Notamacropus eugenii: one gene and its partner. The protein of the gene in region 1 purifies or fractionates together with the protein of each later gene. This does not show direct contact. Links are inferred from orthologs where the notes say so. Each region holds a gene or a part of one and is shown on either strand. Other genes may lie near its edges.

Evidence for each region.
Region 2: the proteins of PEX5 (region 1) and ACOX1 purify together in Homo sapiens (affinity purification with mass spectrometry; 3 studies listed by BioGRID, with this or other methods). This does not show direct contact. The link is inferred for Notamacropus eugenii from reciprocal best matches to the Homo sapiens genes PEX5 and ACOX1.

The regions. Positions count from the first base shown.
Region 1 is NC_092874.1:195,637,581-195,652,957, reverse strand, and holds the start of PEX5 (peroxisomal biogenesis factor 5), read right to left. Parts: upstream 6,567-15,377; 5' UTR 6,467-6,566; intron 5,984-6,466; 5' UTR 5,900-5,983; coding exon 5,753-5,899; intron 5,668-5,752; coding exon 5,632-5,667; intron 5,180-5,631; coding exon 5,047-5,179; intron 4,838-5,046; coding exon 4,706-4,837; intron 1-4,705.
Region 2 is NC_092873.1:342,211,597-342,227,419, forward strand, and holds the start of ACOX1 (peroxisomal acyl-coenzyme A oxidase 1), read right to left. Parts: upstream 6,110-15,823; coding exon 6,001-6,109; intron 5,685-6,000; coding exon 5,525-5,684; intron 1-5,524. Other genes in the region: CST complex subunit TEN1, read left to right, coding at 6,108-6,605, 7,594-7,686. UniProt on the Homo sapiens protein: Involved in the initial and rate-limiting step of peroxisomal beta-oxidation of straight-chain saturated and unsaturated very-long-chain fatty acids.

The DNA of each region.
Region 1 (15,377 bases):
GCTCCAATGTATACCAAAACATACAAGCAGCACTCTTTGTTGCAGCAAAAAAGGGAAACACCAACACATTCTACTGTATGCCACATGAAGTTCAAAAGACGCATGTAACCTGAATATTAAGTAAAGGTCATAAGGACAGGGACTAGATCTGTGATTTAAGTGGCACAGAGAATTTTCTGAGGAAACTTCCTCTACCAATGCAGATCAGCACCTTCTCAACAATTTAGTCTTCAAGAGGTAACTAGAGCACTAAGAGGGTCAGTGACTTGCCCAGAATAATGCAGCCAAGTATGTGTCAAAGGCAGGACAAAACCCCATGTCTTTCTGATTGCAAGGTCAGTTCTCTCTTTACTATGTCACACTATCCTTTGTAAAAAAGTCAGCTCTGTTCTTCTGACAGCTATTTGCTTATATCCTTTGACTATTTATACAAAGAGGAATAACTTCTGACCTTATATATTTCTATTACCTCCTTATATGTTCTGAACCAGATCCTTGTTACAAACAGTTGATACAAAGATCAATCACTTTCCTTCTTATCCTAGCTGTATTAATTCTTTTCTTACAAAAAGCCTGCAATTTCATGTAATCAGAATTATCAATTTTCTCTTGTGATTGCCTCCAACCCTTGTTTAGTGATCCCCATAAACATAAGTAAATATCTATATTCCATAACTTATAGCTGAATAGGTTGAGATGCTTATAATCTTGTCCAAACATCACACTGAAGATCTTTGCTTCCTTTCCCATTCATTTCTATATATTGTCCATTTATTTTTGCTCATTCTTATACCTGGCTTACCTCCTTCACTGTGTCATACATGTGTCTTTTGCATCGCTTCTCACGTGCTGCAGGTGGCTTACATCTACTAGCTCTGTAACCGTGATTCTCTCCAGATCAAGGTATTCTTCTATTCGTAGCCAAATAGTATCACCAAGAAAAAACTGGTGTTAGTAAAAAGATGGACTTTTGAGGCAAGGTAGGAGTATTGAAAAGTGCTGTATGCATAGTCAAATTCAATTCAGCCTAATCTTCACCTGGTGCCAATTCTGGATTCAGGTCACTATCCACCTGCAGTGTTGACCCAGGATATGCATATCCTTAGAGTAATTCAACAGGTTGTTCATCCAACTGTATGCTACAGTCCAGGTAAATGATATTTACGTAATCCTTAAAAAGTCTCCTTGGTTGACTTCTGTATTATAGTACTGTCTTTTTCTATTTGTTTTAAAGTCTTTATTCACTTGGCATCAGAGTGACGAGTCCCCAAGGGCATTCAATGCAACCAGCATAACATCATTCACAAATAGAAATATTTAGGAAAACCACCCCATCAAATCTCTCTTTTATTTAGAGTCCATCAAAGGTCATCTTCCATGACACTGGCAAAGGCTTTTGGTGAACATATGACTTGTTATCTGCTGAGTGTCAATATCAAACAAAGCTTAAAAACACGGAATAGCATTTGACACGGTCTTTTGGAATATTATTGGATCAATAAGGGAATCACCTTGCTCTACCATCTTTTCTCTTCTTTTAGCATCTTCCCTTCTTTACGTATCTTGAATCAACTGCTGAAAATATTTTAAATGGGATCAGTACCACCCAGATCTTTTTGTATGAATTAGCCTAGCTCCAGTTCTTCTTAACCCTTTTTAACCAATGCTCATATATTGTATCTAGTCCTGAGGTGGCAGAATCCAAATCCAGGCAGTTCACCAGCACTTCTATTTGCTGTCTCCTCTCCAGCTTCATCTACAAATGTTCTCAGGTAATCTGGCTTAACTGAGTCTCAAGACTGGAGTTTTTTCCCCAAATGAGGAAAAGGGAATATCAGAAATTTGACAGAAAATGGCAGAAAGTCCTAGAAAAGGTTTCCCATACCAGCACAGGTAGCATTTTTTGTGGAGCTTTTATTTTTCCAGATGACTTGCTGCCAATCAAATTCTGATCCTTTCAAAAGAAAACAACAACCTCACAGATATGTGAAACAAAAAAAACCAACAACGGGCAGAAGAGGGCCTTCTGGTCACATCCTCATGACCTAAAATTAGAGGGCAGCTGTGGTAACTTTAACAACAGAACCCCAGCACCTACTTCTACAAATCCCTTGGCTCTCCCAAAGGGCAAAAGCAAAATAGGAACTTTCTGTGCTACTACACTATTCGAGAAATCTCTCCTCTGTTGCTGTACCACCAAGCACCAGGGGAAAGAACAGAGGCGACAGACAGTCTTCCATACTGATCAAACTTCAGAAGATAAATTAAGAATGCCCAGGGCTTTCATGTCACTACCCTGATCCTAGGGAGCTTCCTATCTCAAGCTGTCAGGGGCCCAAAACATGATCAAAGTGACTAGGCAACACAGCCAAGACAAGCTATAAGCTCATAACCTTAACTAGAGATGGCTAACCACTCCTGACTTCTCTGTGTGAGAAGACTACAGTGATGAGGTTCTAGAATGGTGACCAATATCTAGCTCTCTACAACCCTAGTTTATGGTTGACCCCCAAAGAGCAATGAATCATTACCTTATCAGACACCAATACAAACCAGTTTTCTTGGTCCAAAACCAGTTTCACTTCCCTGCCATCATATAAATCAAAGATTCTTAACCTTTTTTGTGCCATGTACTCTTCTGGCAAGCTTATAAACCCCTTCTTAGGATAATGTTTTTAAATGCATAACATACATGTCTCTTTAAAATAGTTATCCTAACTATAAAATACTCTTTACAGAAATAATGACAGACCTAAATAATTGGAGAAACATTAATTGCTCATGAGTAGGTCAAAGCAACATGATAAAAATGAAAATACTATCTAAATTCATTTTTTGTACTACTCAAATTCTCAAAAGAATATTTATAGACCTATTAGAATATTTTACATTTCATAGAATATTTCATTAAAATAATAATGAAATTCATATGGAAGAACAAAAATGCAATCATCTCAAATAAATGAAAAAAAGTGGGAAGGTTGGGGATGGGGTCATCAGTATCAGATTTCAAACTACTATAAAGCAGTAATCATTAGAAAGATTTTGTACTGGTCAAAAAAAAAGGAGAGAGGTCTATCAGTGGGACAGATTAGACACACAACATAAAGAAGCAAACAAACACAGTAGTACACTGATAAACCCAAAGACCCCAACTGTTGGGAGAAGAACTCACTATTTGACAAAAACTGCTGGGAAAACTGGACAGAAGCTTGGTAGAAATTAGGTTTAGACCAACACTGCACACCAAACACCAAGATATGCTCCATACAGAAACCTGACCTAGATATAAAAAGTCACATCATAAACAAATTAGAGGAGCAAGGATCTATGGGCAAGAGTTCATGAATGAAATAAGTATTAAAGAGGATCACACAAGATAAAATGGACAATTTTGATTAAGTAAAATTAAAAAGTTTTTTACATAAACATATCTAATGTAGAAAGGAAATATGTAAGTGGGGGAAAAAAATCTCTGCAGCAAGTTTCTCTGATAAAGGTCTCATATCCAAGATACATAAGAAATTGATTCAAGTTTGTAAGACTAACAGCCATTTCCCATTACATAAATGGTCAAAGGATATGAACAGGAAATTTCAAAAAGAAACCCAAGTTCCCAACAATTATATGAAGAAATGCTCTAAGTCCCTAAGAATTTAATGTAAATTAAAGTACTTCTGAGATTCCCTCATACCTGTAAGACTAATAACGATGACAAAAGAGTAAAATGACAAATGTTAGAAGGGCTCTGGGAAAAAGTATACTTTTTGTACTTTTTACCCTGTTGCTTGAGCTGTGAATTGGTCCAACTGTTCTGGAAAGCAATTTGGAATTATGCCCAGAAAGTTACCAAACTGTGCATGCCCTTTGACCAGGCTATACCGTTACTAGGCCTAAACCCCAACAAAACGATTTTTTTTTTTAAAAAAAGGGCAGATCTTATGATATCCACAAATTGAAAACTAAGGGGGTATCCTCCTATTGAGGAATGGCTAAACAAATTATGGGATATGAATGAATGAAATATTACGGTGCCATAAGAAATGATGAAACTAACACTTTCAGAAGAAACTGGGAAGACGCTGTGAACTAATGTTGAGTGAGATGAGCAGAAATAGAATAATTTATTAAATAACACCATAAAGAAAAACAATTTTGAAAGGTCAATGCAATGATAAAAGATTAGTTCCAAAGAATGTGGATGAAGAAGCTATTCACCAATACAGAAGTGATGAACTTAAGATGGCACAGTATGACATACCTTTTTGGGCATGGTAAATGTAGCAATTTGCTTTGCTGGACTATGTAGGCTATGTATTGAGGGCTTTAAAATTTTTTTAATCAATGTAGCGACAGTGTTAGGAGAGACAGATTGATTTTTTTAAAAGCTTGTTAATTGAAAAAATGAAAGTAATTAAACTCTATTTTAAAATTATTTTTTAAAATACAGTTATCAAAGTATTTTTTAAAAAAACACAGTCCAGGGTCTGTTAAGGTTAAGAACCTTAAGAACAGCTTAAGAACCCCTGGCCTACATGGAAGTCAAAGGCCCATCTGCCTATAAAATTGAGCCAGTGGACCTAAGGATCAAGTTGTTGAAACTGCATTATATCCTGATTGGGGAGGAATGGGGAGAAAAGGGAGGAGAAATGAATCTGACTGCTTCATTGAAGGGGGTTACAGACTCCCTCATTTAAAGCCTCACCTGTAACTTCAGTTATGAATTCCTGAGACCAGTCAGCCTCATTGTAATCCTGAGCTACGTCCACTGCATCTCCAGCTGCCAGGAACTCTTCAGCCCAGTTCTCAGATAGTGCCAGGTCAGCCACACCTGGGGCTAAGAGAAAGAGATGAATAAAAAATGAAAAAAAAAATCAAAAAACAAAAACAAAGCTCAGCAACTCAAGTTGAGTTCAACTGATAGTACCACATCCTGTCTCTTCCGTTACCTCCAAGTCTTCTTGCCAATGACCAGCCCTTAGTAAGGGGTCTCCCAAAATGGCACAAAAATTGGCCATCTTCCCTCCCACTGGGCCATGGATCTACCTCTCTGGGGAGCCTGGCGGAAGCTAGACTGTTCAATTTCTTGCATTTCTGCCAACAAATCATCCATCTTGAAGGTCTGGGGAGCCCGGGACACAAGTGGGACATTCTGGTCCTGAAGGAATTCAGCCACCAACTGTCAGGAAAGACACCATTAAGAAGCAATAGGAAAACTTGATTGGGAAGACAGAGAAGCCTGCAAACTAGAGCATACAAAGACCACAGGTGAGAGAAAAGAACGTGGAAACTACAGAAACAAAGAAAACGGGAAACTCCAGTGAGAAGCATGCAAAAGGATAAGAGAGGGAGCCAAAGCACGTCAGGCCAGGGAAGGAAAAGAAGGGGAATGAGACTTAGAGGCAACAAGGTATCACAGAATGACAGCTTGAGAGTCACAAAGGATCTCAGAGGTCACCTACTCCAAATCCCTCATTTGCAGCTGAGGACAGCGGGCCCAGAGGCCCAAGGTCACAAAGGTAGTAAGTGGCAAAGACAGAATCTGAACTCAGGTCCTGTAACTCCAGCGCTCTTCCCACTGGGGCAAGGAGACAAGAGAAGAGGTAGCAGGAAGGAGACGTGCATGTTTACCTCATTTTCGGAAGCCACTCCCAGAGGTTTGGAGACCTAGGAGAGAGGCAAGAGGGGGCGGTCAGAGGGGTGCCCACATTCCGCCTCCCCTCCCTCCCGTGCCCCCTTCCCGAAGACTCACCGCTTCGGGGGCTGGGGCTCCCGGGGGCCAGGGGCCAGGGTGCAGCCCTTCCTGCTGCAAGGCTTTGTCCTGGGTGAAGTGACCTGCCAGCTTCATGAGGGGGTTAGCCCCACCGCACTCTGCCTCCACCAACTCCCGCATTGCCATGATGACCGCAGGCCTTGTGGCGGGCAGCCCCGCGTTCTCCGCTCAGCACGGTCCTCGGAGGGGACCCCTACCCCAACTCCAGCCCTAGGGTGGTGGGGAGAAAAGGGAGATCCTCTCTGTATCATAGCAAGCTGGGGGACCTGCTCTCTCCCCACAGCCTCCACCCGCCCTCCCACCCTGGGAAGGCGGTGCTGCCCAGGCTCGGGGACCGGGGCGGAGGGGAGCGCCCCATCCGCAGCTCGCGGGGGGCTGGTCGGGGGTCAGAGGACAGAGGTCAGCAGGCCCCGTTATATCCCCGGAAGGCTCCAGAGCCCGGGGGACACCAAGCCCGGGACATCGCCGAGGCAGGGCAGGCTGGGAGCCCTGGGGCTGGACCGGGACCCCAGCCTGCTCCTCCCCCGCCCCCTCCGCCCGTGGTACCCCCACCTGGTCTCGCTCCCCTGTCCCGCGGTCTGCCACGAGGGGGCCCCCCCTCCTGCCTCCGCCCCCGGCTCCAGCCCCGCCCCCGGGGTCCCGCGAGGACAGGGAAAGGGCTGGAGCGGGCTCCCCTCGGCCCCCCGCGCTCACCTCCACGCGCCGGCCGCCAGACCTGCTCCGGGCGCGGGGGTGCGGCTGCGGGGCGGGCGCGGGGGTGCGGCTGCGGGGCGGGGGCGGGGGCGGGGGCGGGAGCCGGCCGAGGGTGGAAAGAGGAGCGGGCTAGGGGGAAGAGGAGGAGGAGGGGCGGGGTCCCCCAAGCGGGCGCGCGGTCCCCCAAGCGGGCGCGCGCTTAAAGGAACCAAGCTCGGAGTAAGAAGGGGGGGGGTGGGGAGGAAGGGGCGGGGCCCCGCGGGGCGCGCGCTTAAAGGGGCCGCGGAGTGGGCGCGGACAAGGCCGGTTTCTTAAAGGGGGCGGCCCCTTAAAGGGGAGGCCTCGGCCCGCGGAGCGGAGACCCGTTCCCCCTTCTCCCCCCACTCCCCGCCCTGCGAGCATAGGCCTTCCGGTATCAGCGCCCGCCCTTCCCTGCGCTTAGCGTTAGTTACGGCCTGTGCTGCGAAACAGGCCTTGGGCGCCTCCGCCCCGCGGACTGCTGGGCAGGATCCCGGACTTCCTCCACCCCGACTGGCGAGGCCGTCTGTGCCAACCCTCTGGCCTTCCCGGGAGCGGAGATCGGCCCTGAACGCCCCGGAGCGCCGCATGGGCGGGCCTCGGGCCGGGCCTCAGTCTCCTCCTCTGTAAAACATGTGCCTGCACTCACAGCGGGGCTTCTCACCCCGCCGTCCACGGACTTTTTTTTTTCCATCGATGACTATATTTTCAAGCAGTCAGTCTCCTTTGCACTCATGTTTATTTCCTTTCATGCGTTTAAACAACCTTCTGAGAAGGGAGCCCCTAGGTTTCTAGCACTGGACCCTGGCAACAGCGCGGGGGGCTCGAGCGGTTTGACGGTGGAAGAAACCGAGGCAGACTGAAGTGCCTTGGCCGAGAGTGTGGGGACCCAAGGCTAAAGTGAAGCAGACAGGCTATGACGTGGGGACACTTGAAGCTGTGAAACCGGCCCTCGCCCCTGCCTCCGGTTTCCCTGACTCCCATTCCCTACTTCTGAAATAGAGACTGCTGGCTGAGGCTCTTGGCCAAAAGGCTGAGGGGTCTTGGTGCTCTTCCGCTACCTAACCCGGCCTCTGCTTCTGCAGAACGCTTCCCCTCCTCCGGTCTGCTTGTGCAAGAGTCATAAAGGGCTTGTGGTTTATGCTTGAGATGCTGCTGAGTGGTCAGCTTGAGTGGGGACCTCACCAGCCCACACCCCCGGGATCCTACACCTGGGACTGGCGTGAAATGAGGCGGGGAACCCGCACCACCTAACTGCCCCGGAGTGCCTTTATGTAGCCCTTTGCCTACGTTTTCTCAGCTGAGGTTCCTAAGAGGTTAGTACTGTTCTCATCCTCATCGTACAGCCGCAGCAACTGAAAACACAGGAATCAAAGGACTTGCCCAGGGTCACACAGGCAGCGTCGGAAATATCCGGGCACCACCTGCAACTGGCTGCTGTGCTCCCAAGCACAGTGCCGGGGGCTGGAGATGATTATTATTAATAATGACGAGCACTTTACAGATTGAGGAGTTGCCACGTGTTTCCTCTTCTGATGCTGTGTGTGTGCTTTTATCGGATAATCTGCAGATGAGAACACCGAGGGAGACAGATTGAGCCACTTGCTCGGAATCACAAGGCTGGGACAAAGAAGGGCCAAACCCCAGTTGTTACCCACAGTGCCTTGCTCCCATTATAATGAGTGAGATGATATGTACGTAGGAGATATTTACAAGGATGCAGATTGAGACACTTTGGGGGACCGGCCAATGGTTTATTTGTTTTGCTACACTGCAGACTTGTTACGAGGGCTTTGTTTTTAATTTTCCAAGTTGAGAAGGAGAAGGTGGATTTTTGATCTCTGAAAAATACAAAATTTTTTCTTCAGATAGGTACAGGGTAAGTTAAGTTGGAGGTAATTTCAGAGAGAGGACACCACTAGCATTAAGGAGAACCAAGAAAGGCTGGTTTCTAGAGGTGGGGTTTTAGCTGAGATTTGAAGGATACCGGGTGGCAGAGATGAGAAGGGAGAGCATTCCAAGCAAGGGGAAAGGGGTCCATGACACACACTAAAAAAGGTTAACCTCTGGACTAGATGATGTCTAAGGTCTATTAGCCCCCCTAGAAATCCTGTGAGCCTCAGGGCAATAGTGTCAGCCTTAGTTCTCTCTCATGCTGCAATATTGCCTTCTTTCTTCCCTTGGCCCACTTTATCTTTTGCTGCTTTCTTGTTTTCAGTTAAGGCTTCTAGTGGTTTATTCTCTTTGTTCCCAGCAGCAAAGGGTTATGGATGTGTTAAGACATCTCCATAATCTTGGTAAGGGAAACTCAGCAAAAATATTGTATTATTATCAGGCCTCCAACCACCATCAAACCTAGGCTCTCTCCAGGGAGCAGAACAGAGGCACCAAGGAAAAGGGAGGAGAGTAAGAAATCACAAGATGGACAAGTGATGTTCCCCAGCTATCAGAAGATAGCAATAATTAGGCCCACAGGACCTAATGATCAAGAATATACCTATATTCTAAGATAACCTTGTGGTTTTGGGGGGAAATTCATGGGGGGAAGGGGGGGAGGAAAGTATCTGGGAGTTTTGTCTGTCTGAGTTTACTAAACCTATAGTGGAGTTCAGAAGATGAAGGTGGTAGATGGCACTCTGGATATAGCAAAGCCCACCTCAGAGATCAACTAGTCCATCTACTTCATTTACAGATGAGGAAAACAGAGCCAAAGAATTTAGATAACTTTCCTAAGGTCACAAAGAGGGTAACTAGCTGAGTCTGCATTCTAATGCAGATTCTCTCCAAATTCATTGTTCTTTCTTGGTCATCTAGTCCAACAATGCCTAAGAAGAACTAAATACCCTCTACAATGTCAATGATAAATAGTCATCACAATTCTGCTCAGACACCTACAGTAATGGAGAACCCATGTCTTCTCATCCTACTCATCTCTAATTTTTAGAAAGCTTTTCTTCATGTCAAGTTGCTCCTATTTTTAGTCTAGGACCAAAAAAAAAGACCCATTACATTTCCAAATGTGCTGTTACGCTACACAAACTCCACCCCCACCTCCAGTGAAGTTGCTTTTCTCTCCTAAAAGTCCCTAGTTTTTTCAAATGACCACTGTATGACCCCTTTCTGGAAACTATATTTATGTTAATGTAGTCTGAGGCCCTACTAGCTTTTCTGACTACCATGTTAAATTACTGACTTGAGTCTTCTAAACCCTCTAGGCCAATTTTACAGGAATTATTACTCCTTAATCATATACCAGAGTCCACCTTCATCCCCCCTACCATCTTGTACTTGTGCAGTTGATTTTTTAAAAATCCAACTGTAAGATTTTATATCATCCCTATTAAATTTCATTTGATTTCTGTAACAAGTATTCCTAATGTCTCCACATGCTAGAGAAATAACTCTACAGTTGCAAGGGAGCTTGAGTCCACCTAACACAATCCCCCCATTTCACAAATAATGAAATTGAGGCTTAGAAAGATAAAGGATTTGCTCTAAATCTCATAGGCAGTATCAGAGTGGGATCAGGGGAACAATGGGAAAAGATAGGGAAATATGTAGATTTGGAAATATACCCCAAAAGTCACAAAATTGTACGGTGAATAGAGTGCTGGACCTGGAGTCAGGAAGACTTGAGTTAAAGTCCTGTTTTAGACATTTAACTAGTGGTTATGACTCTTCAGAAAGAGGAAAATATACCCAACTGAATGAAGAATTCCAGAGAATAGCAAGGAGAGATAAGAAACAATACAGAGAAATAAAAGTAAACAAGACTGGGAAGGATAAGAAATCTCTTTAAGAAAATTAGAGACATCAAGGGAAAATTTCACACACAGATGGGCATGATGAAAGACAAAAATGGTAGAGATTTAATAGAAGCAGAAGAAATTAAGAAGTGGAAAGAATACATGAAAGAACTATATAAGAAAGATCTTAGCATCGCTAATAACCAAGATGGTGAGATTACTGATCTAGAGTCAGAGTCCTGGAGCATGAAGTCAAATACAACAATACAGCTAATGAAAGTGATGGAATTCCAGCTAAGCTATTTAAAACACTAAAAGATGATGCTGTTAAAGTGTTATGCTTGATATGCCAGCAAATTTGGGAAACAGGATAGTGGTCTCTGGATTGAAAAAGATCAGCTTACATCCCAATCCTAAAAAACGACAATGCCAAATTACAGAAGGGCTGCACTCATGTCACTAGTCAGTAAGGTTATAGTTAAAATTCTACAAGCTAGGTGAACAAAGAATTACTGGAAGAGCAGGATAGTTTTCAAAGAGGCAGAGGAACTAGAGACCAAATTGCCAACAGTTGCTGGATTATGAAGAAAACAAGGGAATTCCAGAAAAACATCAACTTCTGCTTCATTGACTACACTAAATCCTTTGTGCAGATCACAACAAAATATGACAGGTCCTCAAAGAGGACCTTGTCTCCTAAGGAATCTGTATACAGTCTAAGAAGCAACAGTTAGACATGAACGTGGAACAATTGATTGGTTTAAGATTGGAAAAGGAGTTTAAGTTTGTATATTATCACCTTATATGTAATACAATATGTGAAATGTCAGGCTGGATGAACCAAAAACTGAAATTAAGGTCTTTGGGAGAACTAGCAACAGTCTCAGATATGCTGACAATGCCACTGTGATGGCAGAAAGTGAAGAGAAATTAAGAAATTTTTTGATGAGGGAGAAAGAAGAGAGTGTAAAAGCTGGCTTGAAACTTAACATCTAAAAAAACAAGATCTTGGCAACTAGTCCCACCATTTCTTGGCAAATAGGGAGACAAGAAAAAAGGAGGAGGAGGAGAAGAAGGAGAAGGAGGAGAAGAAGAAGAAAAGAAGAAGGAAGAAGAAGAAGAATCAGATTTTATATTCTTAGGGTCAGAGATCACTACAGACAGCAACCACAGCTGTGAAATTAAGATACTTGCTCCTTGGAAGCATGTTATGGCAAATCTGGACAGCATGCTAAAAAGCAAACACATCACCTTGCCAACAAAAGTCCGCATCAGCAAAGACAAATACCATGTAGACAAAGGTCCTTGTAGTTTCTCCAGTAGTAGCATATGAATGTAAGAGCTGGACTATAAGAAAGGTAAGCACCATAGAATCGACATTTTCAAATTGTGGTGCTGGAGAAGACTTTTGGGAGTCCCCTGGACAACAAGGCAATCAAATCTGTTAATACTTAAAAGAAATTAATTCAGATTATTCACTTGAAGGTCAAATACTAAAGCTGAAACTCAAATACTTTGGCCATATAATGAGAAGACAGGACTCATTGGAAAAGACCCTGATGTTGGGAAAGATTGAAGGCAAAAGAAAAGGGGGATGGCACAGGATGAGATGGATAGATAGTATCATGAAAACAAGAAGCATGAACTTGGACAGACTTCAAAAGGTAATGGAGGATAGAAGGGCCTGGTGCACTATGATCCATGGGGTCACAAAGAGTGAGACAGAACTGTACAACAACAAATATGACCCTTGACAAATCACCTAGCCTCTGTCTTCCTCATCTATAAAATGGGGATTGTTGTTGTTCATCCTTCATTCTTGGAAAGGATCAATGACATCATGTAGCACTTACATCCCAAGGTTATAGTGAGAATAAAGTGAGATAATATTTGTAAACTAATAAATAGTATTTGTGAACTAAAGAGTTATGCAAAACTTAAAGTACTTATAGAAAATGCTACCTATTATTATTATCCAGAAATAACACTGGATATATTTCTCAGAGAGTTCAAAGAAAAAATAAAAGTACCCTCATATGTATACAAATTTTTATAGCAGTTCTTTGTGGCAAAGAACTAAAAAAGAGGAGATGCCCATCAATTGGGCTGAACAAATTATGGTCATATACATACGTCCATGCATACGTATATGTATGTATATGTATATATATCTGTATACACAGATATATATATGTGTGTATGCAATGGAATATTACTGTATCATATGAAATGGTAAAAGGGATGGTTTCAGAAATTTCTAAGAAGATTTATATGAATTAATACCAAATGAAGTGAGCAGAACTTAGAGAACAATTTATACAATAACTACTTTCTAAAGAAAACTAACTTTGAAAGACTTAACAACAATGATCAATGCAATGGTAAGCCACAATTCCAAAAGGTCAGTGATTAAAAAGAATACCCACATCCAGACAGATAATAAATTCAAGAAAAATTTGCAAAGACAGTGGATGAACCAAATAGAGAATTCCATAATTTTAATATTTCAGAGTAATATTCCATTTTCTTTTACATAGGTTAGTGTTGATTAGTGGACTATGACAGGGAGAGAGGTATTCCTGACTTCCATTGTCAACCCTGGCCAGCCAGAATTAATTTCTCTGAATAGCATTTTGTGTACTTATAGCACTTAGCACTTTTTAAATTGCATTTATGGGTATCTGTATACATGTCTTATGTGCAAAGTCAGCTATTTGTGCAGTCAGTTTGAGTTGACCTCATTTTAAAACCTTGTTTAGACTTTGGGTATATGTGCAGCCAACCTGCAGGAGGTGACGGTCCAGAAATACCTCCACCAACCTGCCTTGACCCATACACAGCTGTTTGAGAGATGCATAGGAGGTACTCGCCAGACTCCTGAACATCTTGGACACTACCGAAGGACTTGACCCCCTAAAGCTGTAGCTATATGGATTTCTTTATTCACCCTGTTATAATTTTGCTTATTTTGTTAATGTTGTGTGTGTTATGGACCTGTTAACTTTTCTGTAAGCTCCTTATCATTTCTGCTTGGACTGATTCCAGTTTAGGAACTGAGGCCCTTGTACTGCAACTTTGCCAGTCACAGTTTGCATTGATGAAAGGCCTATCATGTGGCCTCTAATTAACTTTCTTGTCAGCAGTTTAACTCCTCACAAAAGAGAACTATAACAAAAGGAGGCAGGAGAGAAAATAGGTGACCCTACCATTTAAACACCTGCAGACTGACTTTATTTATTGCCCCTACCATTGAAAACCTACAGATTGACGTTATTAAACCTCCAGACTCTACGGACTACAGATATATTTTGTTGTCCAGTGATTAATTGAGCCATTGGGTAGAGGCTTCTCCAAATCCTGCTGACCACTAATACTGCCCTCAAGGCTGTCAAGTGGACAACTTGGCTACATCGCTCCCATGTGAAGCCTGTCATAATTGATCTGAGCCCAGCAAAGGGCACAACCTCTGAATAGTCCCTAGACCCAACTGGGCTAAAAAGAGATCCCAATAGCACACAGTGGTCTTTGGCCACATGTGTATTTGTCCCTGATAATGATGACCTTATCCTTCACCCGTAACCTGTCTATTGGGCATTTGTTGTTTGCACTTTATGCCTTGCTTTGCACCGATGGGTTTGGGAGAACAGGAAAAGCTAACACTTATGTGCATCTGAACCAACATGCCAGGCATGCTTTTAACTAGACCAGCTGCTGGATATGTGCACATGCCCTTTTGTCTCTGGGGGAGGAGATGTTTCTGGTGGACGTGGGAGCAGACATCTAGAACTTGTATGATTATTATTTTTCAATCAATAAGGCAAACTTAGGTACAATATCAATGTACTGCTGAGGGCTAGAAAAATGAGTCCTCCCACTCATTCACTTTCAGTTGGGAAAAGATCACTAGTGTTTCACAATTCTCAATCAGCCTTCCCCTTCCCCTTGAACTTGCAACATATTGTCAGCCTACCAGTCCTATGTTATGAGCAAAATGAGACACAAGGTCAGGAAATGGCACAGCAAACGGGTTATAATTATGCCCTATCCCTGAAACAAAATATGACCATTCAGGACAGAAAAGGCCTTCTGAGAATTTTTCTTAAGCCAGGAGACCTGGCGCAAACAAGCGGATTTTTCAGGATACCCCTGCAGAGGTTTTATTTTCTGTGTAACAAGAAAGCTTATTACTGGCTCTCCTCAAATTGGATGGGCAGGTGTGAACTGGGGCAGTGCTTTCTGGCCTTCAGCCCACACCTACCCTGCCTCCTAGCACACACTAAAGAATCAAGTGTATTGCCATCCAAGTTTCTGCTATGTTTTCCCCATTAGCGAATGAGACTGAATGCATCTTTTCCATCCTATTACCCATGTATGGAACCGGATGCAGACTGGTGCTCTTGAATAAAGTCAATAAATTTTTACAAGTATTTGTTAATGAAACCATAGGCCCAGCAGAGACTCTTAATACTGAGGTACGTGCTCTTAGGACTGTGGCCTTACAAAATATGCTAGCTCTAGAATCCTGCTGGTAGAGAGAAGGGTATAAACTCTCATAGGTCGGGAGTGCTGCACCTGGAGTTCCTGACAACTTTGACGATATCTGTACCCAAATGAATTAGATTTGGAATTCCTGGGACAGATTCCAGGAGGATAGGAAGAAACCCTGATTCTCATGGGAATGGCTAACCTCTTGGCTTCCAAATCTCTCATGACTAAAGTTGTGGGTTTTCTCTTGTGTGTTCTTATAGGGATTGCATGTTTGTGTTTACAATGCCTCCTTTGGTGCAAAGAACTGATTCCCAAATTGACTCCCAAAGTATAAGTGGCAGAGATTAACATAATATAATTGATAGAGGATCAATATTAGGTCTGATTTGGTGCTATACTGTGAGTATGGTTAGCACTAAAGAGGGGATTGTACAAAGTCAGCTACTTGTGCAGAGTTACTCTGAGTGACCCCATTTTAAAACCTTGTTTAGACTTTAGGTATGTGGGCAACCAGCCTGCAGAAGATGGCGATCTGGAAAATACCCTTGCACGTGTGCACTAATCCCATCTCCTCATACTTACGTGCACCAATCAACATACTTTTGCCTTTTTATGGAAGTTGTTTACTCCTGTCTATAAAAAGCAGCATGATGTTTGAA
Region 2 (15,823 bases), on another chromosome or scaffold:
TACTAAAAATAATACAGTAAATATACTGTCAATCTCCAATACATTTAAAGAATTAAATAAAACTGAAGAAATGTTCTTTACAGTGTCTCTTGAATAAAGAAAAAGAAATGATTATTCCTATTTTGAGGATTTGTTGAAGGAAAAAGAGCTCAGATGGGCTTACTGTTCATAGAAAGGCATCAAACCACCCCCATTATTAAGGAAGTATAGGTCATCATTCTTCCTTATTTCTTCAAGAGAAGCAATTCTAAAGGACTTAGAAATGAAGGGAATTTAGATTGACTTCAACCCTCTCAATTTCAAGGTAAAGAAGCCAGGTAAAGTTTAGAGACCTGCCTAAGGTCACACAGAGTAAAGCAAAATTAAGATTCAAACAGTCATCTGACTCCAAACCCAGTGCTCATTTCACTTTACTTACTTTTTCTATCTCAATAATACGACAATCTCAATCACTTGAGCAAACTTCTACACTAATTCTATATTCCTTAATCCCAATAATCGAAATGGATTTAACCCAAGTTACAGATGTCTGGCTGAAGAACTGAATTCTGGATGCCAAATCCTGTTTTTGTGCCAACAAAACAATACAATGAGTTCCTTATTATAATGCACTAATTAAAAATGCCTGAACACCACCAAAGATCGAACATGATTTGTGGGAAAGGAAAGGAGTTAGTTCATTACCAAAGTTATTTGGGTTAACAACAGCATAATTTAGCATTACATAATCTTAAAATTGAAAGAGATCCTAGAGATCATCTAGCCTACCTTCTTCAACATCATAAATATGAGAACTCAAGCCCAGAGATAAAATTACTTCCCCAAGATTGCCACAAGTAATTAAGTTCCAGAGCTGTGACAAACCTGTCTTCTGATGTCAAATTCAGTGTCTTTTCCCCATCTGGTCACTCATTTCACCAACAGCACTTAAACACCAAAATCTCACTGACAAAAATGATTTCATAAATCAATCTCAAAAACAAAAGGATTCTAATACCTAATGACATCAAGTCTTACAAGAATTTGTAATTCCTAAATCACTCTCCAAAAAAATCTAGGCAAGAATGTAAATCTGAGAGGAATCCTCACAAATAAAGAGTAATAACTTAAATTAAAAGAATAGTAGCCTTTGTTTGAAATGCTGATCACAGTTCTTCATGAAGAAACAACATATGTAAAATAATTCCTTTGGGATTTCTAGAATTAATGATGACATAATGACAAATGAATAAGGCATCTATACATCTGCATGTAAAAACGCATGACATCTAAAATGAAAACAGCTACCTATTCAAAATCCTAATATCAGGACTAGAAATTCACTGGTACTTCTCAACTACCACTCTAAAATGAAACTCAAAAGACAAATTCAATTTATACTTAAGAGGAAAAAGAAAAACCACAACCACACAAGTTTAAATATATCAAACTAGAAAACTGAGTTTCAGTGACTGTTTTCTTTGCACAGCAGAAAAAATGAAATTGTTTTTCTAATGTTCCCCATATGATAAAGTCTATTTTGTCAAGTGATGGTTCAGAAAGCCCTTATTCTTCAACATGACCATTTGAAAATAATTTACAAATATTCATTCTGCACATGTAGTGTTCTTATAAAGCAGAATATTCTAATATGAAGAGAAATTAATATTAAAAAAAACAGTAGTTGACTGGTTCAACACCCTTCAAGAATGGAATTATTGTTTGACAAAATTTCTTATTTCAATAAATGATGATCAAATACCTGACAAATATCATCAAGATCATTTTTAAAAAATATCTTTTAATATTTAAAGTGAAACATGATATACAGGAAAAACAGTATTTCCTACCAAATGGGGAACTTTGTTCTGTTTCATTATGACTTCACTTGAGTCTGGTTATCTATTATATTCACAATTACAAGGAATAAATCTCTTTCAAGACTGTTTGGATACCCCACCTTTCACTTGAAAAAAATGTAAGTCAGGCTCTCCAGAAGTATCTAACTTGTCATTTTAAAATGTCTCCTTATAAATGGGGGTTAATAATATTTTGTAAAATTTACCATCACAATTGACTCAAAACCAAAATGTGATTTACTAGAGATACTCTTCTTCAATATCTCCATAGACACAAGGCATACAAACTATCAAAATAGGAGCATTTAAAAGTATGTGAGTAGTACTCCAAGTTGGATTATCTAGAAAAGTTCAAATTTTAGTAATAGTGAAAAGATCCCTGGATAGATTATTTTGTAAATATTAAACATATCACACATTAAACATTATAAATAGCACAAGATTTATTTTTAATGGAAAATTCACAGGAAAAGAGTTTACTAGAACTTCAAATCACTTCTAAAAACTAAATTATCTCACTTTAATATGCCATCTGATAAAGCTGTATAGTGTAACCCACTCAAAAAAAAAAACCTATGAAGTCCATTTGGGATTAAATTCTGCTGAACTCCTATTTTATTTTTAATTTTCTGACTGAATGGTTTTAAAGAAGCATATGACTTCTGACATATCTCAAACTAGATGTAAATGAAAGGACTTCAGTATGTAATTTTTTCTTTGCTTAAATTCTGCCAAAGGTATATAAATGTGTAAGATTTTACTATTTCAACTTCAATGTTTTCTGCTGGGAGTAAAGTTTGACATTATCACAATTTTTATTATGGCTTCTTTAGAATGTCTTCAAGGTGGAGTGTGATGTGGTAAAAGAACATTCGTGGAATTCAGTAGATCTGCCACATACACCTAGGCACTGAACCAAGATCAAGGGTGCCTAGGTATGCAAGGACATTGTAGGAGGAGCTTTGCTCCTGGTCTTTCCAGGACAGAATCAGAATGGTCACTTTAGGGTGTGTCTGCCATATGTGGCCTATGCTTTATGCTTGCTCCTGTGCCATAAATTTATGTGACTCTGACATGCCATCCTAGATATACCATGAGGCTGGCTGATTTGGGGCAAGTCACTTGATCTTTCTCAATCTGTTTTCCTACTTGTCAAATAAGAGAGCTGAGTAAAATGATCTCCATGGTCTCTTCCAACTCTAAAGTTCTGTCAGTCCATAGGTTCTCCACTTTGCTCCCATAGAAGATTTTTCAGCTGTCTGTCCTGTTCCTCATGGTCTTTACTAGGCCACAGGAACTATAAGAATAACACAAGATGTAAAAAATAAAGATGTACAAGGACATCTTAAAGTAACTAATCAATATAGTTATTACAAAAAGGAGAACTTAACTACACTTTATATTTCCATCAGTTTTTTTTAAAACATGGATTGTCTAGGGCATAAATAATTTGATTGTTCAAAAATATTTATTGCTATGAAAGGGAAAATTTATTGAGTATAAGACACTCAAAACCAAATAAACCACCACATATTATTAAGTCAGAGCACTATTTATCCAGAATGTAAAAGAAAACATTAAAACTGTTTTATTTCTTAAAAAAAACCAAAAAACAAAACCCAGAACACCCACACACAAAACAAAGGGGTTCCAACAGCAAAGTATATGTTTGGCACCTATCAGCAATTCAGATTTTGTTTAGGGCCTACACAGAAAATGAATTCCATTTACATAACCACCAACTCACTATTGATTAGAGAGATGCAAAACAAAACAACTCTGAGGTACCACATCACATCTGTAAGATTGGCAAACATGACAGAACAAGAAAATGATAAATGCTGGAGAGGATGTGGGAGAGTTGGAACATTAATTCATTGTTGGTGGAGCTGCAAGCTCATCCAACCATTCTGGAGAGCGGTTTGGAACTATGCCCAAAGGGCTACAAAAATGTGCATACCTTTGACCCAGCAATATCGCTACTAGGACTGTATCCCCAAGAGATCATAAAAATGGGAAAGGGTCCCACATGTACAAAAATATTTATAGCAGCACTCTTTGTAGTTGCCAAAAACTGGAAGTCAAGGGGATGCCCATCAATTGGGGAATGGCTGAATAAATTATGGTATATGAATGTTAACGGAGTACTATTGCTCGGTAAGAAATGATGAACAAGAAGACTTCAGGGAGGCCTGGAAGGACTTATATGATCTGATGCTGAGCAAAAGGAGCAGAACCAGGAGAACTTTGTGCACAGCAATGACCACAGTGTACAAGAGTTTTTTCTGGTAGACTTGGAACTTCGTAATAATGCAAGAACTTATGAAAAAAAAAAATCCCAATGGTGGTTTTCTAAGGCAAAATGCCTTCCACACTCAGAGAAAGAAATATGGAATTCATTCGCAGAATGTAGCAGATCATGTTTGTGTGTGTGTGTGTGTTTTTGTGTATCATGTTTTGATTTGTTATATGATTTCTTCCATTTGTTTTAGTTTGTCTACATAGCATGACTATAGTGAAAATGTACTCAATAGGAAAGTATATGTAGAACCTATACAGAACTGTATGCTGTTGTGGGGATGGAGGGGGTAGTGGGGGGTAGATGTGGGGGGGATAAAATCTTAATTTTATGGTAGTGATTGTAGGACATTAAAAAAAAAAAATAAGAATAAAAATAAATAAATAAATAACCACCAACTGTAAGTGTTCAATTCTTAGAACACTTTCCATCAATTCTATTTGAACACATCAGTTGTTGGTTTTCCTATCAATACACTTTTTTCATGATTTCTGACAAGAGTAATTTATTACAGTTAAAAAGGCTTATATGCCACATCCTACACCAAGACAAAAATAAAAACTTCACATTTCAGTTTTTCAAGAATGTTCTTGCTACCATTTTCTGGGCTCACTACAAGAAATCTCCCCAAATTTTCAAAGCACGGGAGGTCTTTCTGAGGGACTTAAATCTCTAAAAAACAAGAAGTTGTGACCAAAGTGTACCTTCAAATAGCAGGTACCTGAGAGTAAGAAATAAAAAATCTGTATCGATGGACAATTCTCCAAAATTCCATGCTAAAGCAAAATCAAAGGCTGCAGAATTCATAATCCAACCACCTTTTCCTTAAAGATAGGGAAGGATAAGGCCCCTGGACACTAAGTGATCTAAGATCCATAGATGAGAGTGTGTCACAGGCAGGATGGGAACCTAGGACTGTCATTCCAGTTGTTCCACAATGCCTCTTTTATGATGCCTCTGAAGAATAATATAATGCAAAGTTGGGAAAAAAACTTTCGTTTTGGCCTTCCACCTATCCATTATTTATATTGACCCAGCAGACTACAAGCTACCTTTTAAAATTAGTTAACATTAATCCATAGAGAACAAGGTTTTAACCTGGTATCTATGAATTTAAAAGCACAATTTTGATACCTACTTCACCAGAATTGGCTTCCTTTTTAATCCTAAATTTAATTTAATTCTATGCTTTGAAAGACATTCTTCTGCTACTGCCAGAGCATATGACACCAAAAAAGGTTACAACTCTGACCCAGAAGATTAAGAACTAGAAAGGCATATATCCAAGAAGCCATCATACACCATGGCCTAGATAAGTTGGGAATGAGAAAAGCGCAGATCCCAGGAGCGGTTCAAGCTCTGGGACCTCTACTGCTGGCACACTTACTTTTTAAACCACATGATCTCTTCGGGGTCAGCTATGCCAAAGTCTCGCATCTTCTTCACCATCGTGGCACTCTTTTTGACAGCCATCTCGTAGCGCTGGCTCCGGGTAAGGAAATTCAGGTCTTCATGCTTAAAGTCCGGGTCACTCAGGATCATATTCTCTGCAGTTTGGAGGGAAGGGGGGAGACACAACATTCAGAAACCCGTTACCATCTGCGAGGAGCGTTTTTAAATTCAGGGAACAAAAAGGAAGGTTCTTCAAGAGGCCACGGTTTATGGGGGATTCCACACACCAACAACTACGCACGGACACAGACCATCAGCAGAGGAACTGAGGGGGGCTGCCAGCACAAGACGGGATTTGGGCCGAGCTCGAGGAAGGCAGCAGCCGATTACAGGGAGGGGTCCCCGAGTCCTGGAGGGCCTGAGCTCACCCCCAGCCCCTGCAGCCCCCGGAGCCAGCCCGGCCGCTCTCACCGATCTCCCGGCGCCGCCGGGTCCTCTCGGGGCCTCCATCCAGGACGTAAGTGAGTTTCTCCGTATCAAAGCTGGCGGAGTCCCGCTCCCTGCGCAAGTCTGGGTTCATGGTGAGGGCGGTGATAGGGCACCAGGTGACGGCGATCAGACGTCCGCGGCTCGGGCAGCCTGCTCACTCCCTTCTAGGGTTGCTGAGTCTCGGGCCCAGATCTAAGCAGGGCCCTAAGACAGGCAGCACCGCCCCGAGTCCGCCCTCGCCCTGGGCACGTAACCGCGGCCCTGTGCTCAAGGGGCCGAGAGACCTTCGCCCAGCGAGAGCGGAGCTCCGCCCGCGCCCGAGGAGGGCGGGGACAAGGCTGGGCCACCGCCCGTTCGCTCGAGGTGTGGAAGCCGGGCTGTGGGCGGAACGTGGGGCAAAGGGCGCCGCCGCATCTCGGCTCTGCCGCGCAGGCCCGGGCGTGCGGCCTGGCGTCAGCCTGCCTTCCGGCTCCCGCCTCGGACGGCTTCGCTCCCGTCACGTGATGTACCCTCGTTCACGTGGGGAAAATTGTTACTTTTCTCTCCCCTCACCGCGGAAGGCTACGACTGTGGGGACCTTGGGACAGGTGCGTGAGGTCAATGGGACGGGGGCGGGGGAGGGACACGGGACAAAGGGAGAGAGCAGCCCTGCGCCTGCGCCTCGGAGCCTCGGTCCGACTTCCTCCCCACCCCCACCCCCGCACCCGGAAGTCCAAGGACAAAGGCGTGCCCGGAGGTCGGGGAGAAACTGACCTTCCCCCCTGGAAAGCTCGGGCTCCCCTGGTACTCTTCTCTCGCCACAGGAAGAAATTTTAGCTCCGGAGTCATATATATACATATATATATATTTTTTTAATGAGTAGTGCTGTGAATTTTCTGGGTGCCCAAAAGTATTGAAATCCCCCTTTTCACCTCGAACTCCTCGATTCCTTCGTGACTCAGGCCTGGTAACTCGTTGTGCCAGAAGCCCTTCCAGACGCCCCTCAGAGCTGGCGCCCCCCCGCTCCGAGATGACGCCCATTTCCCCCTTAGTTACCTTGTAGATGTGTACGCCTATGGGGTGTGCGTCCTCCGCCTCTTCCGAGCGTGAGCATGTTGGAGGCAGGGACTGTCTTCTGCCTTTGTTTGTACCCCCAGGACTTAGGTCTGTACCTATCGCCGTAATCAGTGATTCTTTGAGGACTTCGTGTCATCCTGCACATGTGTGTTAGACACGGAGAACAAGGTTAGACAGACTTAGAGCTGGCTTCAAATCTCCGTGCTGCAATCAGTTGTGTGTGGGATCTTGGGCAGCAGGGGCCCTTAGGAAACTGACAACCAAGCCAGGTGTGAAAGGCGGGCCTGATTGGCAACATGCCTAGCGCTAAAGGAAACAGGTTACAAGGCAGTTGGGAAATATTTACCAAAATACGAAGAAAGATAATAGTAAGGTGGGTTTTCTAACTCAATTATTCCCCTTCAGGGATCTTTATGTATTGTTTAGTGCCTCTGGATGACTTTTAAGGTACCTTTGAGTTCTAAGAGAATAATCCTATGATCGTAGAGATGATCTAATACTGTGCCCTCATCTTGCAGAAGAAAAACATGGATTCCAAACGGTGGAGCCAGAAAGCTACATCTTATAACTCTGAATTCATATGTTTCTCTCTTGAACATATTGCCTCCTAAACATTCTTGTAAAGGTTATCAGAGGCAGCTGATGGTATAGTGGAGCATGGAATCAGGAAGATACAAGAGTTCACATTCAACCTCAGACCTAGTTCTGTGACACTGGACAAGTCACTTTCTTCAACTGTAAAATGATGATGGGAATAGTACCTACCTCACAAGGTAAAAATCAAATAAGATCTTTATGAAGATAAAATGAGATAGTATTTGTAAAAAAAAAAAAAAAAAGCTCTTAGCACAGTATCTGACATTTTCCCTCCCTAAATCTCTGACCCAGCCTTAAGGTGTCTACATGTACAAAACTGCTAAGTGAAAGTGAGACATGAAATAAAGCTGCTTCTGTTGAGCAACAGAAGAATTTTAGATGACTGTCATAAAGAGGGTAATGAAAAGGCACGTGTAAATGAGAGCAGGCTGTAACAATAACTAAGGCCATCAAGGAACTGTGTGAGAGAAAAAGATGGTTGATCAGTGACAAGAAGGAGGCATGGGCCAGCTAGCTTGTTTCACTGGCACCCTTGAATTCAATGTCAAGAGAAAATGTGGAACACCTCCAGGAGGACCTTTTGTGATGAATTTATGGGAGGACATGAAGGATGGGCAGGCATTGACAAGATGTGAACTGAATCCTTGGAATTCCCTAATTAACGAGATATAGATTCATTTGAGTACTTGAGAAAGTACATATACAAAGGCGTTGGGGATACAAGGCTCCTGGACCCTGCTCTCAAGATAGAGCTAGAAGAGCTTAGAAATCATACAGGGCAACACCTTAATTTTATGTATGAGGGAACAGACCATAAGAATTGAAGGGACTTGCATAAAGTCATGGAAAGTAAGAGTAGGGCTTGAACGCCAAGTCTTTGACTCCAAATCCAATGTGTTTTGCATTATACTATGTTATTTCTTTCAGTCTAATAATGGCAGGAAAGATGTGTCCAAATGATCATGATGCAAATGGGAGTGGGATAAGTACAATCTGTTCAAAATATTATGAGAAATTTGAGTATAAATTTGACAATCTAAGTGAGATAGATAAATATTTTTTTAAAAATTTTGAGAAAAAATGGATTACTTTCAACTCAGGGAGGCAAGGAAATCTTTATTTAAGAAGTAGCAAAGGAATTAGGTTTTGAATGATGGCAGTGACTCCAAAAAAATTAAGATGGGGTGGGAGTACATTCTAGAAATCAGGGATATGTGAGCATTACAGACCAAGAATGGAAGATGTAGTCTAATTTGTGGGCATATACCCAAAGAACTAAAAGACAGAAGTAAAGGTCTAGTATATACCAGAATATTTACAACAGAGCTCTTTGTGGTGTAGAGACCTGAAGACAGTGAGTGACCACTAGATTGGAAAGGCTGAACAAAGAAAGCTATGGCATATAAATACCATGGAAAACTATTTATAGTAAGAAATGATAGATATGAGGAATTCAGACAAAATGGAAGGGAAGATTTGTATGAACTGGTACAGAGTGAATGACAGAAGTAAACCAAAAGAAAAAAAAACCCAGTGTAAACAATGGCTGCTATAATATTAATGAAAATATCACTAAGAGAAGATAGAACTTTACCTGAAAAACCAATAAAGGTTTTCAGAAACAGATAATGAAACCTAATATCTCACCACAAAGAAGCAGGAAACTGGTAGGACAAAACATTTTATAGATTGGCAGATATGGCCTCCCATTTTATGTGGTTTTGCGTAGTTGTTCTTTGTTATAAGAAAGTTTTTGTTTTGGAGGAGAAAAATTGAAATGATGATGTAAAGGGAAAAGAAAGTAATCTAGCTGGAATGTACAGTACATCAAGGGAAGTAGATGAAAGAAGACTAGAAAGGTGGATTGGAGCCAGTTTCTGTAAGGCCTTAAATAGCATGATAAAGAATTTATACCTTTATTCAGTATGCAGTAGGGAACACTTAAGGTTTGTGATTTAAGAGACAGCAGGAGGATGAGGAGCCAATAAAAGACTGTCAGAGAGCATGGAATAGTTTGCCTGTCGGATCTGTGAATAAGGGAAGAGTTTAGGTCCAAACAAGAGATGGAGAGCATTATAAGACATAAAATGGATAATTTTGATTACATTAAATTAGAAAGAGTTTTGCACAAACAAAATCAAAACAGCCAAGATTAGAAGGAAATCAGAAAACTGAAGAAAAAATGTTTGATCTAGGAATCAGGAGACCTGAATTCTTATCCTGACTGCTACTTCCAGGATAGTACAGTGCCCTTCTCCAGTTTTGGCTCTAGGTTGGTTGATTGGTTTTTTCTGTCTATATACGATACCTAGGGTTTCTTACTGCTCTTAGCATTCTACGTTTTAATTACGTCAGTTGAAGCCAGTAATAAGAACCTACATTTATGTAAGGCTTTAATGTTTACAAAGAACTCATGTAATTTATTATCATCAATTAATTCAGCAGATTTAATATCTTCATGACATAATGCTATGGGAATTGGAATAGTCATTATTTCCATTTTCAAGTGGAAAAATTAGGCCTCAGAATGTTTAAGTGGCATCCAGAGTAACATGTAATTAAGGGAGGGAGAGTCAGGATAGTGGAGTCAGCAAGACCTGAGTTCAAATGGGCCTCAAACACTCAACTACTTGTGAGACCCTGGTCAAGTCACTTTGCCTGAGTTTGCCTCAGCTTCTTCATCTGTAAAATGGAGATAATAATAGATCTAACTTTGAAAGATTGTTGTGAGGCTCAAATGAGACATATTTTTTTAAAATTTAGTATTTTATTTTTCCCCAGTTACATGTAAAAACAACTGTTAATATTCATTTTAAAAACTTTGAGTTCCAAATTTTCTCCCTTTTTTCCTCCCTAAGTCCCCCTCATTAAGAAGGCAAACAATTCAATGCAGGTTATACATGTGTAGGCAGGCAAAACATATCCATATTAGTCATATTGCGAAAGAAAACAGAGACAAAAACAAATTCAAGAAAAATAAAGTAAAAAAGTATGATTCCATCTGTATTCAGATGCCATCAGTTCTTCTTTGGGGATGGATAGCATTTTTCATCCTAAGTCCTTCAGGGTTGTCTTGGATTGTTGTATTGCTGAGAATAGCTAGGTTATTCACAGCTGATCTTCTTATGTTATTACTGTTACTTTGTACACTGTACGTTTCACTTTGTATCAGCCCATACAAGTCTTTCCAGGTTTTTCTGAGAGCGTCCTGGTCATCATTTCTTATAGTACAGTAGTGTTCCATCATCATCACCTGTCACAGCTTGTTCAGCCATTCCCCAATTGATGGGCATTCTCTTAATTTCTAATTCTTTGCCCCCAGAAAAGAGCTGCTCTCAATATTTTTGTACATATAGGTCCTTTTCCTTTTTGTTTTTGTATCTCTTTTGGGATACAGACCTAGTAGTGGTATTGCTAGGTCAAAGGGTCTGCATGGCTTTAGACTTTTGGGCATAGTTCAGATGAGATATTATTTGAAAAGTGCATAGCACAATGCCTGGCACATATTAGGCAGCTATATAACTGTTAGATTTTTTTTATTTCCCTCATCTTAATCCAGTGTTCTTTCCCACCACCCCACCGTTGGGGAAATATTATTGTCAGATATAGTAAACTGGTTAAAGAACCGGGTTGTTGTTGTTTTTTTAAGTCACAGCAGAAATAGTCCTTTTATTTATTTAGTTGAACTCAGTTATTTGGTATTTATGAGGAATTTGTGATTATCCTGACATGGTTGGTATTCCTTATTTCTACTGAATGGACAGCACAAAGTAGAGGCATCACTAAGATTTATGTTTAGGATTCATTATATAATGGAGCTCTACTATGAAGTGAAATTTTTAGTCAGATTTCCTCAGTTTATGTTATCAGAACTTTTCTTGTATGAATAGCAAATGCTGCCTTCACAAATTCTTTCCTTGATTCCTCTAGTTTGTAACAGCCTTCTACCTGCATTTAGGGAAGCTGGATTTTGAATCAGTTTCTTATCCCTGATACAAATGGCATGACTATGGGCTTATCAGTTAACCTCTGAACCTCAATTTCCTTACTTATAAAATGGAGATTTTGAAATGTATCACGGTGGCTGACCTTAGAGTCAGGAAGATCAGGCTTCTGAAAAACAAGAATTTTGACCCCCAGGACCTCTCAATACACCAGGCAAGCCTGTGATGGTCCTCTTCCAAATGAAGGATGAACCACATCACCACCCTGGACAACTGTGTAAGTTGACAAATTACAGAGTTGCTGATCTACATTGAAGATCCAACTATCCCTACACTGATGAAATCAGATCTGCACCTTTGTCTTTAGGACTTGCGTTACCGGGTTGTTACAAAAGAGGAAATAATACGATGCAGAGTGCTTTACAAACCTTTAAGCAATATGTAAATGTCAGTTATGATGATGATTGATTGATAACAGTCCTCCTCTTAGATTCTAAGCATAGGGTGAGTGTGATCAGACTTTCCAGAATTGTCTATCTTAGCACTTGGCCCAGCACAGAGTAGGCCTTTAATAAATACCTATTGAGGAAAGTGATGTGTTGGAGAAGATGTGGGAAAATTGGAACACTATAATGCGTTGTTGGTGGAATTGTGAATGGATCCAATCATTCTGGAGAACAACTTGGAACTATGCCTAAAGGGCTATAAAACTGTGCATCCAGCAATCCTTTGATCCAGCAATACCACTTCTAGGTTTGTATCCCAAAGAGATCATAAAAATGGGAAAAGGACCCACATGTACAAAAATATTTATAGCAGCTCTTTTTTTGATGATCAAGAATTGGAAGTCCAAGGGATGCCCATCAATTGGGGAATGGCTGAACAAGTTGTGTTATATGAATGTAATGGAATGCTACTGTTCCATAAAAAATGATGAGCAGGTAGACTTCAGAAAAACCTGGAAGGACTTTCATGAACTGTTGCAGGGTGAAATAAGCAGAACCAGGGAAACATTGTACACAGTAACAGCAAGATTGTGGAATGACTAACTTTGATAGACTTAGCTCTTTTCAATAATGCAATGGTCCAAGGAAATTCCAGAAGACTCAATGATGGAAAATGCTCTCCACCTCCAGAGAAGGAACCATGGAATCTCAATGCATATCATACTATTTTTCCTTTTTGTTTTTTTGTTTTTTTCTTTCTTGTGATTTTTCCCTTTGATTCTGATTCTTCTTTACAACATGACTAATGTGCAAATAAATAAGTAAATACCTGAACAAAGGAATGATTATACAAGTAGTGCCCAAAATTGTCTTTTATTAAAACATATTTAGAATTTGAACTTTTCAAAATGAGTGATATTTTACTGGATTTTCAAAGATATTCTTTAAATTACTATCTTAATATCCTTGAATGCCATATTGGCAAAGTGGATAGAGAGCTGGCTTCCTTCAGAGCCAGGAAAACCTGGTTTCAGGTTTCAGGCCTGAAAAAGGGAGAGATTCTCTCAGCTGAGATGGCTCTCTTCTCTCTACACCTGTCATTAAGCCTAGCCTGCCAACTTCTCTGACAACTTCAGAACTGATCCTTCCTCAAAAACCTAGTTACACAGGCCTCCTTAATCTTACTCTCTCCCAGCTTTCATATACGATCAAGTAGCAAGTCATGTTGTTCCTATTCTGGCAACAGAGCCATGACTAGCAATTTTTGCACTCAGGACAAACATTGCATAAGCACAACCTAAATTCCCTTGTGGGAGTAGAGGGCAGGAGCTACCTAGGCATGGTATTGAGTTTAGCTGTTTACATACTGCTCAACTGCTATCAATGACTGGGTACAAAGCCCCAACCCTACTTTGTTCTCCGCCTAGAAATATTTCTTGATCTCTTCCCACTTTTTCATTTCCCTGTAATAACCCCACTTTGGGCTTTCATTATCTATCATTTGGATACCAATGCACAACTTAGATTACACCATCCCTACTGCATACTGAATAAACATAAATTCTTTATCATGCTATTTAAGGCCCTCTGGAATCTGGCTCTAGTTCACTTTTCTAGTCTTCTTTAATCTACTTCCCTTGATGTACTCTACATTCCAGCTAGATTACTTTCTTTTCCCTTTATATCATCATTTCAATGTTTCTCCTCCAAAACGAAAACTTCCTTATAACGAAGAACTAAGCAAAACCACATAAAATGGGAGACCATATTTGCCAAGCTATAAAATGTTTTGTCTTACCAAGTTTTCTGCTTCTTTGTGGTAAAATATTAGGTTTCATTATCTGTTTTTGAAAACCTTGATTATTGATATATCTTGTCACTTAATCTCTTAATTCTCTGAGTAGCTAAGACTTTACGTTGAAGACAAGGCACTGATCTGCATTGGGAGAGAAGTAGCTTACACTTCTGAAATAAATCACAGGTTCAGCCTCTGCCCCCTAGGTAAATGTCAATTAACATTATGATTATTTTGGTATTACAGTGCTGTGTAGGAAGTCAGAGTAGAAAATAGGGTACAATTGTTCCTAGAGGCAGTCGTCCTTGCCCTTCCCTGTATATCCCTTTAATTCTAGTTGGCATCTGGACAAGCAGAGTGACAGTGCTTTGCAGTTGTGCAATCGTGAACGTGCTCTTTATTTATTGGTCTGTAAATTTGCGATGAGCACTGTTAAGAAGATAAAGAAGTGAGTTGTGAACTCTCCTGGATCAAAGGTTATATCACCTAACTTTCATAAGAATGTTATAATCTTATTTGACAGTGAACAGAGTATTGGACCAGAAGTCAGAAAAACTCTTCTTTTTGAGTTTAAATCTGGCCTCACACACATCCTAGCTCTGTGTCCCTGGGCCAGCCATTTCACCCCAGTTTCTTCATATGTGAAATGAGCTGGAGAAAGAAATGGCAAAAACCCCTCAAGTATCTTTGCCAAGAAAGCTTCAAGCCAGGTCACAAAGAGTTGGACACTACTGAAAAATGACTGAATAGCAGCAGCGATAATCCTATATCTTTACTTTCTTGTCATGCCTACTTTCTGCCCATGACAAAGAACAGTGGGAAATTAACCTTTTCAAGATGTTTTTTCATTGAACTTCTCTTCCTGCGCAGTAGAGATGTATGATTCTTACACTTAAAAAGCAATCAATCAGGGCATGGTTATTTTCATTATAGGGCCCTTCACCTTGCCCTTCATGATTCAGTTTACAAAAATTCAGCTTGTCACATGTCTGTTGTCTGAAGCAACACATACTATGCAGACATCTTGTGTTGGCAGAGAGTGCCTGTTGGTAGAGAAAATCCTGTTATGATTGTACCTTCTAGCCTGCTCAGCATAGAATAAAACTTTTTTTTTGATTTCTTGAGTTCTTACTTTGTGTTTACCTTGACCAATGATTTAGCCTTGTTTTCCAAGGTATGCTCTCCTGTGTTTAACTAGGCAAGTCAATGGCTTACGGCCTTCCAAAGCAACCTTTTCTTTTCTCTACTTCTTATAACTTCTCACTAGCAGTAGCCTGAAAAAGGGAGAGGTTCTGTCCGCTGAGATGGCTCTCTTCTCTCTACACCCATCATTAAGCCTAGCGTGACAACTTCTCTGACAACTTCAGAGAAAGATTCAGGTAATACTATGAGCTTCCTTAGAACGAAACAAACCATGACATTTCCAAATAAACCTTTCCCTTCTCCAACCACTTCTTCCCCCTAGAAGTCAGTGTTCCCGTGGAACAAAGGAAAGCAATGAAGCAAAAACAACTGAAACTGTGACTGAATCAGACTACCTATGCAACATTCATTCTATAAACATTTATTAAACTCCTACACGGAAGGCACTATGCAAGGTACTGGGGATACAAAAAGAGGCAAAAGATAGTCCCTTGTCCTCAAGGAGCTTACAATTCTAATGGAAGAAACAACCAACAAATAAATCTGTACAAAGCAAGTTTTATAGCCAATAAATAGGAAATAATTAACAGAGGGAAGGCACTGGAATTAAGAGGATTTGGGGAAGGTTTCTTGTAGGAGGTGAGATTTTAGTTGGGACTGCCCTACTAGTGTCGCACCTCAGTGTCAAAAAGTAGAGAGGTAGATTTATTTCATCATAGTCTGTTCTTGGGGTCCATTACTGGTTTTTCAATTACTTGACAGTTTAGCTTTATTTCATTGCTGGAATTGTGTTCATGGTTCAGTTTTTTCATTCTGCATCAGT